Linked DNA regions of Macaca mulatta. The protein of the gene in region 2 interacts with the protein of the main gene of each other region in a pairwise test. Links are inferred from orthologs where the notes say so. Each region holds a gene or a part of one and is shown on either strand. Other genes may lie near its edges.

Region 1 (3,750 bases), on a different chromosome or scaffold from region 2:
ATGGCGAAACTCCATCTCTATGAAAAATACAAAGAGTTAGCCAGGCATGGTGGCATGTGCCTGTAGTCCCAGCTACTCAGGAGGCTGAGGCAGGAGAATCGCTTGAACCCAGGAGGCAGAGGTTGCAGTGAGCCGAGATCGCACCACTGGGTAACTGAGCAAGGTGCCATCTCAAAAAAAACAGAGCAAGACACCATCTCAAAAAAAAAAAAAAAGAAAGAAAGAAAAGAAAAACTTACATAAAGGAAATTGACATGCTTTCCACAACCCTGTAACTGGCCTGCTGAGAAATCGCATGCAATTGTTTACGATTTTTGTGATTAATTCTCTTCATGGTGGTTGCCACTTATGTTGCGTTATCAGCACCAATAATGGTCCAGTTCTGTAACAGGTTAGCTATGACTACAAAATCACCATTTGTCTTTACAGCACTCTATTATCTCATCACTTGTCTTTCCTTTTAAATGACATTTGTTTTATGTGGTAGCTCATTTTGAGTCATGAATTGCAACATATGGAACCACTAACCAAGAAATAGTCTTGCACCTTTCCCTGTTAACAGAAATGGAGTTGAAAACTTAGCCTCCTGGTATTATTATTATTCTAGTTCTCTATATGATTGGAGGGAAATCAGATTTCAAGTTCTTGCCGCTTTCCTTATGCCTTTCACAGCAAATTTCAAAGTATAGCAGTAGGCAGATTGCAATGTAATAGCAATTTTTAAGCCCAGAAATTAAATTAAACCAGAAAGAAATACACCTACTTCTAGTTCAAATAGTGTTTCTTCCGGAAAGAAGAACATCTCCACAGTAACAGCGGTGACAATAAGAGTATTTTCATGAAGATCGGAGTTAGCAGGTTTATATAGATTGCAGAATACAGCTACTGTTTTCCAGAGAAACTGACAATCAGTGTTAAATGGTTAGGAAGGTCTCTGTGCTTTGGAGAAAGATATGGAATAGTCGGTGCAAGGGCTAATAGAGTGCCTTCTCAAATTGTTTTCAGTTCCTCCTCTTAAGGAGGAACGAAAGGCTGGTAAGTAATCCAATAGAAGCTTTTCCCTATAGAATGGTCAGAAAGTTTGATCATTCAAAAGAACATTATTTTACTGTAAATACATGTCTAGATTTCATGGTCCTTAATGATTTATGTTACATGTCTTCCCCCCTAACGCCTTTTTCTGTCGTGCATATCACAGAGTTTTGCTTCCTGGAATATCAGTGGAGAGGGTAGTCAGCTTGGCCCATATGAGGGAGGGGAGGGTTCTAGCAGCTGGAACGCAAGGTGGACTGACCAAGGGGGTTCCTTGGCCTGCCTGGAAAACGGTAGTTCAGACCTGGTGGGAAACATTCCCCTATTTTTGTCCATCTAGGGATCAACAGAGGCCTTGAAAGACTGCTGTGACACCTTCCAAACAGCCCCCAGGAAATCATAATCAGCATCTGCCAATGGATCTCTTCTGCCTGGGTTGAGCTAGCCAGGAGGGCCCCAGGGCAGGGTATGGTTTGTGGCTGCCAGCTGCCATGGCAGCTCTCTGCTGCCTCCTTCATCCTGGGGTTTTTGCCTCTGTGCTACCAAATGACAGGTAGGAGCTGCTAAGGATGGGCTCTCTGGACACCAAAGCAAGGGGCTTGGGGTCACAACTAAAGGCTGAGGGACATCTGATTTGGGCTGCTGCAACTGCAGTGTTTCTCTCTCTCTCTCTCTCTCTCACTTTTCTCCCGCCCTCCTCTCCACTCTTCCTGGCATTAATGCCTTAAAGACTAATACCACAACAGTGTACAAGAATCAGGATGATCTGGACCTGAAAGGCTGAACATAGGAGGGGCCTCCTTCATGAACATTTTACACCTAAGGAAATAGTACGTTTAAAACTAGATTCATCTGGCTTTGCCCAGGGGCCACCGGGACAGAAACTGTGTACGATTCATTCCTCCTTAAAGCAAGATTGCCAGGTAATTCTGTTGCAAAGTCATAGAGACCTTAAGTTATCTGCTCTGCAAACCCCACTGCCTCTATTCAGGCTGCCAAGGCACTGGTTTATTTTTCTGAAAGATTCACTGCGTCTTCTTGGATTTCAAGAAAAATCCCGTTAGGAATTGAGGGGCTCTCTTCTTCCCCTCCCGACATGAGTATAACTCACTTCCTGGCATGTCTCCTTTCCTTTTGGCCTACATCCTTTGTCTGTTAGGTGCTTCCACATCCTTATGTCTTAAATGACCAAAATACGTCACCCCCACTGCCAAAACACACAGGTCACTCGAGGTCACAATCTGGAACATAGGCCGGCCATTGTTCTGTACACATTCTTGATTTAAATCAATCTCAAACCTTGCTGGAATGCCCTGTAAACTGGGGCAAGGTATGGTCACCAGACTAAGCATTGTCCTTTTTTAACCTTCCAGTGATGGGGCTGCTACAGGCTACAATATTGCACTCTTCCTCCTAGCTACTGTTACCCTGAGATATCTGAGGTTGCAGAGCTAATGTTGCCTAGATTATTTTGCCATCCTTTTTTTTTTTTCCCTCCGGACATCATGCCCCCTATTTTCACTCTCTGGGAACTCTGCCAGTTTTTCAAGGACTGGGTAAAGAACAAAATAAATATTTGTAGGTGGTTTAAAAGGAGAAGAAGTATGTTGGCTGTAACTCTGCCCATCCAAAGAAATGCATTTTCACTGTCTTTCAGATGTTTTGAAGTTGTTAACTGGGAGAGCTTCAGAAGGTTGACTTTACTAGTTTACCTTTTGGATTTGTGATCAAGGGCTGAGTGTGTGTGTGAGTGTGTGTGTGTTTGTAAGTGTGTTGGGGAAGGGAGGAGTCTGAGAAAGTGAGGCAAGTAAGTAGAAACTTTTTTTAAAAAGTCCAGATTGAGTGATTGAAATCGACTGTGTGCAAATGACGCTAGACCTCTTCATAGATGTTAATCGGGCCCTAAAAAATTAGTGCCGGAAAGTGCTTACTTGCAGCACTCAGCATAGACCCTTTCTTTCAAATTGTTTGGGATTTTTTTTTTTTAAGGGAGTTCACTGAAATTTGGGAGGTTCGACAGGTTGCTGTTTCTTAATATGTGGATCACCCGATTTGGGAGGCTCACTCTCCCTCTGAGATTAAAGAGATGAGGGCACTGGCTCCCAGCGAAGGCTCCTGGCCTTAATCATGTGTGAAATGTTTTCCTTCCTGGGCTGCAGAGCCTCGGTGGTTTGCAGCGGTGGAACCAGGCAGGCCGAGCTGTGGGTAGGAGAGGCCGTCACCTGTTGGGGCCTCCCCCCTCGCGCCCAACCCCCGGCATCGCCCTGCCCTGGCAGAGCCCAGCCCCCAGTCCCCGGGGAGCGCGCCTGCGGACGGACGGACAGACGGACGGTCGGACAGACCTAGGGACGGAGGGCCAGGGGTAGGGGAGATCCAAGAGGCCCGGCGCTGGAATGCAGTTTTCTCCGGCGAGGGAGACTTTGCACCGGAGTGGAAAATAGTTTGGGGTGGGGTTTCGCACCGTCCCCTCCTCCCCAGCCCCGGGCCCCCTCCCAGGCGCTTTCTGGGAGCTTTTAGAACTGCGCTCTGAAGTTTCCAGAGAGCAAGGAGCTTTTGCGGCAGGCAGAGACAATGGAAGAAAATGAAAGCCAGAAATGTGAGCCGTGCCTTCCTTACTCAGCAGACAGAAGACAGATGCAGGGTAAGTAACAGACCCATTCAAAGATGGAGTTACAGGGACGCGTGCCCCTTGCCGCTTGCTGCTTTTTATAAACTGCA
Region 2 (3,650 bases):
CAAGGCCATACAGCAAGTGAGACACGGAGCCCGGGCTGGAACTGGGCAGTCTGGTGGCTGAACTCTCATGCTTGGCCTGTTAAATACTGGTAGAAGTGACCAGTGGTCTCTGCTGAACCACGCTGTGCCATCCCAGGAGAGCCGTGAACGCATTTCCCCATTGAAAGGAAACAATACAAATCCTGTCCTTCTCTCATTAAAGGAAAAGAGCCCACAATCTTCCAAGGACTTTGTGCTTTTATGTGCCCATTTATCCAGGAACCCACTCTGGTTCTCTCATGCACACATTCATTCATCAAATATTGACTGAGCACAGCACCTGCTCCGCGTTACTCACCATGGGGCAAACAGACAAGAGGAAGAGAGCACCGCCCTTAAGAAAGTTACAGTGTTGGTAGGCAGCTGGGTGGTTAGATAAGGGCACTAATAACTAGAACACAGAGAATGTACTCAGAGACACTAAGCACGAAAGTCCTGGCAAGGCCTTCACCCAGTGCTTGTGGGCAGAGATCACATTAGCTAGAGGGAAGAAGCTTCCGAAAGGCTACATGCAGGGTCCGCACCTCTCGGAGGGGGCTCAAGAGACAGACTTTAGTGGTGGATCAGGGCTTCAGCACAAATCACAGAGAAGCCCGTGTTTCTTGGGGGAGCAGCCGGGGACCCGCAGAGTCCCGTGGCAGGTACCTTGCAGTCACAGCCGATGGGCTTCCCACACTCCTCGCAGGTGTTGGCGAAGAGGGTCTCGAAGCACGCCACGCAGTAGGGGCTCTCCTCCCGCAGGATGTACTTCTTGCCAAAGAGAGATTCGTTGCAATGGTGGCAGTCAAAGCGCTCCGTCATTTTGACACCTGCCTTTTCAGCAACCTATCAAAAAGAAGGGAAAATCCAGGTCCCATTGAGCACTCTCTGAAAGAGATGCACGCAAAGACATTAACTGTCCCACTGTCTGCCATCTTTAGCTGAAAGGTGGTTAATTCCTCTGGATGAATAATTAAAACTCACCCTTTAATAGGTCATAATTTTCAATGATAACACCTTTTTTGTTTTCTTTTTCATTAGCTAAGGCAGTTTTGTGTTTGAATGCATTCACTTCGTGTTTTGTTTGTTTGTTTGTTTGTTTTGAGACAGAGTTTTGTTCTTTCATCCAGGCTGGAGTGCAGTGGTGCAATCTCAGCTCACTGCAACCTCTGCCTCCCAGGTTCAAGCGATTCTCCTGCCTCAGCCTCCCGAGTAGCTGAGATTACAGGTGCCTGCCACCATGCCCAGCTAATTTTTATAGTTTTAGTAGAGACAGGCTTTTACCATGTTGGCCAGGCTGGTCTCAAACTCCTGACCTCAGGTGATCTGCCCGCCTCGCCTAGCAAAGTGCTGAGATTACAGGCGTGAGCCACCACACCTGGTCACATTCCACTTCTTGAAAAGCACGAATTATTTTTTACTGTGTCAGAAAAAGCTATCTCAGTTTTAAATACAGGTAAGGGCTGGCACCAGAGCCCCCATCCTGTCCGGCTGTGACCCAGCCTTGCATCTTCCCCTTCTCCCTGCCCCCAAAATAGAAAGGCAGGCATAGAAATAATATGTCCATTTCTATAAAAAGATTTTCCATGAGCTCCTCTTTATGATTCATGATTTGAATAGGAAGAAATCACAGCGGCAAAAGGGAGGGAGATCTGACCTGGGAAACCTGAGAGTAGATGCAATGAGGCCACTATTACCCTTGACCTCCGTGCTGCATTGGGAGTGCAAGCTGACCTTGCACAAGAGAAACTGCCAAAGTCCCTGAGGATGAATCATTGCTCCCTATGGGAAAGATCATCCTGCAGCTGCCCAGGTATCCTGAGAGCAGGATAAAGGGAAAGATTCACTTCCCAAAACAATGATATGGAATAGTCAGAAATGCAGTGGCTGCAGTCAATGGCTCTCTGGGCAACACTTCAAGCCCTTTCAACAGGAACAAGACACTGGCGAGGTTGCGGAGAAAAGGGAACATTTATACACTGTGCATGGGAGTGTAAATTAGTTCAACCATTGTGGAAAGCAGTATGGAGATTCCTCCAAGAGCTAAAAACAGAACTACCATTTGACCCAGCAATCCCATTACTGGGTATACACCTAGAGAAATACGAATCATTCTACCATAAAGACACATGTACAGGAATGTTCATTGCATCACTTTTCACAATACCGATGACATGGAATCGACCTAAATGCCCAGCAATGACAGATTGGATAAAGAAAATGTGGTACATATACATCATGAAATACTATGCAGCCATAAAAAAGAATGAGATCATGTCTTTTGTGGGAACGCGGATGCAGCTGGAGGCCATTTTCCTTGGCAAACTAATGCACGAACAGAAAGCCAAATACTGCATGTTCTCACTTATGAGCGGGGCCAAATGAGGGAACACATGAACACAAAGAGGTGAACAACAGACACTGGGGTCTACCTGAGCAGGGAGGGAGGGTGGGAGGAGAGAGAGGAGCAGAAAAGGTAACACTTGGGTACTAGGATTAATACCTGGGTGATGAAATAATATGTACAACAAACCCCTGTGACAACAGTTTACCTATATAACAAACCTGCACATGTAACCTGAACCGAAAATAAAAGTTAAAAAAAAGGCGTCTCCACGCCCGGCACACTGCACTTTTCCTAGGATGAATACACGGTGTGCATAAGTAGCAAGGGACGGGCCCTTCTCTTATGACCATTCCTATAATCATGTCAGAATGATCCTGGAGAGAAAACGCCTACCACAGGAATAGCTGGTGTGGAGAAACGTCCGTAGGGCATTAAAAACAGACAAGTTTCTTCAGGAATAAATGGCAATATTCCATTTCCTAAAAGTGGAAAGTTTTCTCTGTTGTTAAATAGGTACACCGGGCTGGGTGCGGTCACTCACGCCTGTATTTCCAGCACTTTGGGAGGCTGAGACTGGTGGATCACCTGAGGTCGGGAGCTCGAGACCAGTCTGGCTAACATGGTGAAACCCTGTCTCTACTAAAAATACAAAAAACAAAACAAAAACCAAATTAGCCGGGCACGGTGGTGCATGCCTGTAATGCCAGCTACTCACGAGGCTAAGGCAGGACAATCGTTTGAAACCAGGAAGTGGAGATTGCAGTGAGCTGATAATGGCACCTCTGCACTCCAGCCTGGGTGACAGAGTGAGACTCCGTCTCAAAAAAAAAAAAAAAAAAAAAATAGGTAGACTGGTTGGCTATGTAACTGTGAGCAAGAGTTCACAGGCTCTAAGAACACTTGGTTCAATTTGCAGTCTTCAAACGATAGGAGAGTGAAATCCCAGAATCAGACCTTCTGATGCAAATAAAATATTATCGCCTGGTTTATGATTACAGGAAATTTGATAGAGTTTATTAATTTTGTACTATTGCATATACACGGTCCTGACAACTGTAAGCAAGGAAAAGATCATCTTTCAAGCATCCATTCTTGGATATTTCTGTGTTTACAGAATAATTCTCTTCCAAGAGCAATAAATACGCAGCTGGACACATGTGGCAAGATCCGTCCTTCTAAATCACTCTTCCTGGAGTTAAAGAAAACATTGCCTGGACATTCTTGTGATAACATCACAAGATGAGGCTCTTGAGCACTTGAATTATTGTTCTGAAACCCAACGTAT

Evidence for each region. The genes of interacting proteins can lie anywhere in the genome.
Region 1: the proteins of FHL2 (region 2) and KIAA1217 interact in binary tests that used the Homo sapiens proteins (3 or more experiments, as listed by UniProt). The two-hybrid records come from large-scale screens. The link is inferred for Macaca mulatta from reciprocal best matches to the Homo sapiens genes FHL2 and KIAA1217.

What each region holds. Positions count from the first base shown.
Region 1 is NC_133414.1:25,647,197-25,650,946, forward strand, and holds the start of KIAA1217 (sickle tail protein homolog), read left to right. Parts: upstream 1-1,251; 5' UTR 1,252-3,603; coding exon 3,604-3,673; intron 3,674-3,750. UniProt on the Homo sapiens protein: Required for normal development of intervertebral disks.
Region 2 is NC_133418.1:13,489,921-13,493,570, forward strand, and holds part of FHL2 (four and a half LIM domains protein 2), read right to left. Parts: intron 865-3,650; coding exon 685-864; intron 671-684; exon of another isoform or gene 1-670. UniProt on the Homo sapiens protein: May function as a molecular transmitter linking various signaling pathways to transcriptional regulation. Negatively regulates the transcriptional repressor E4F1 and may function in cell growth.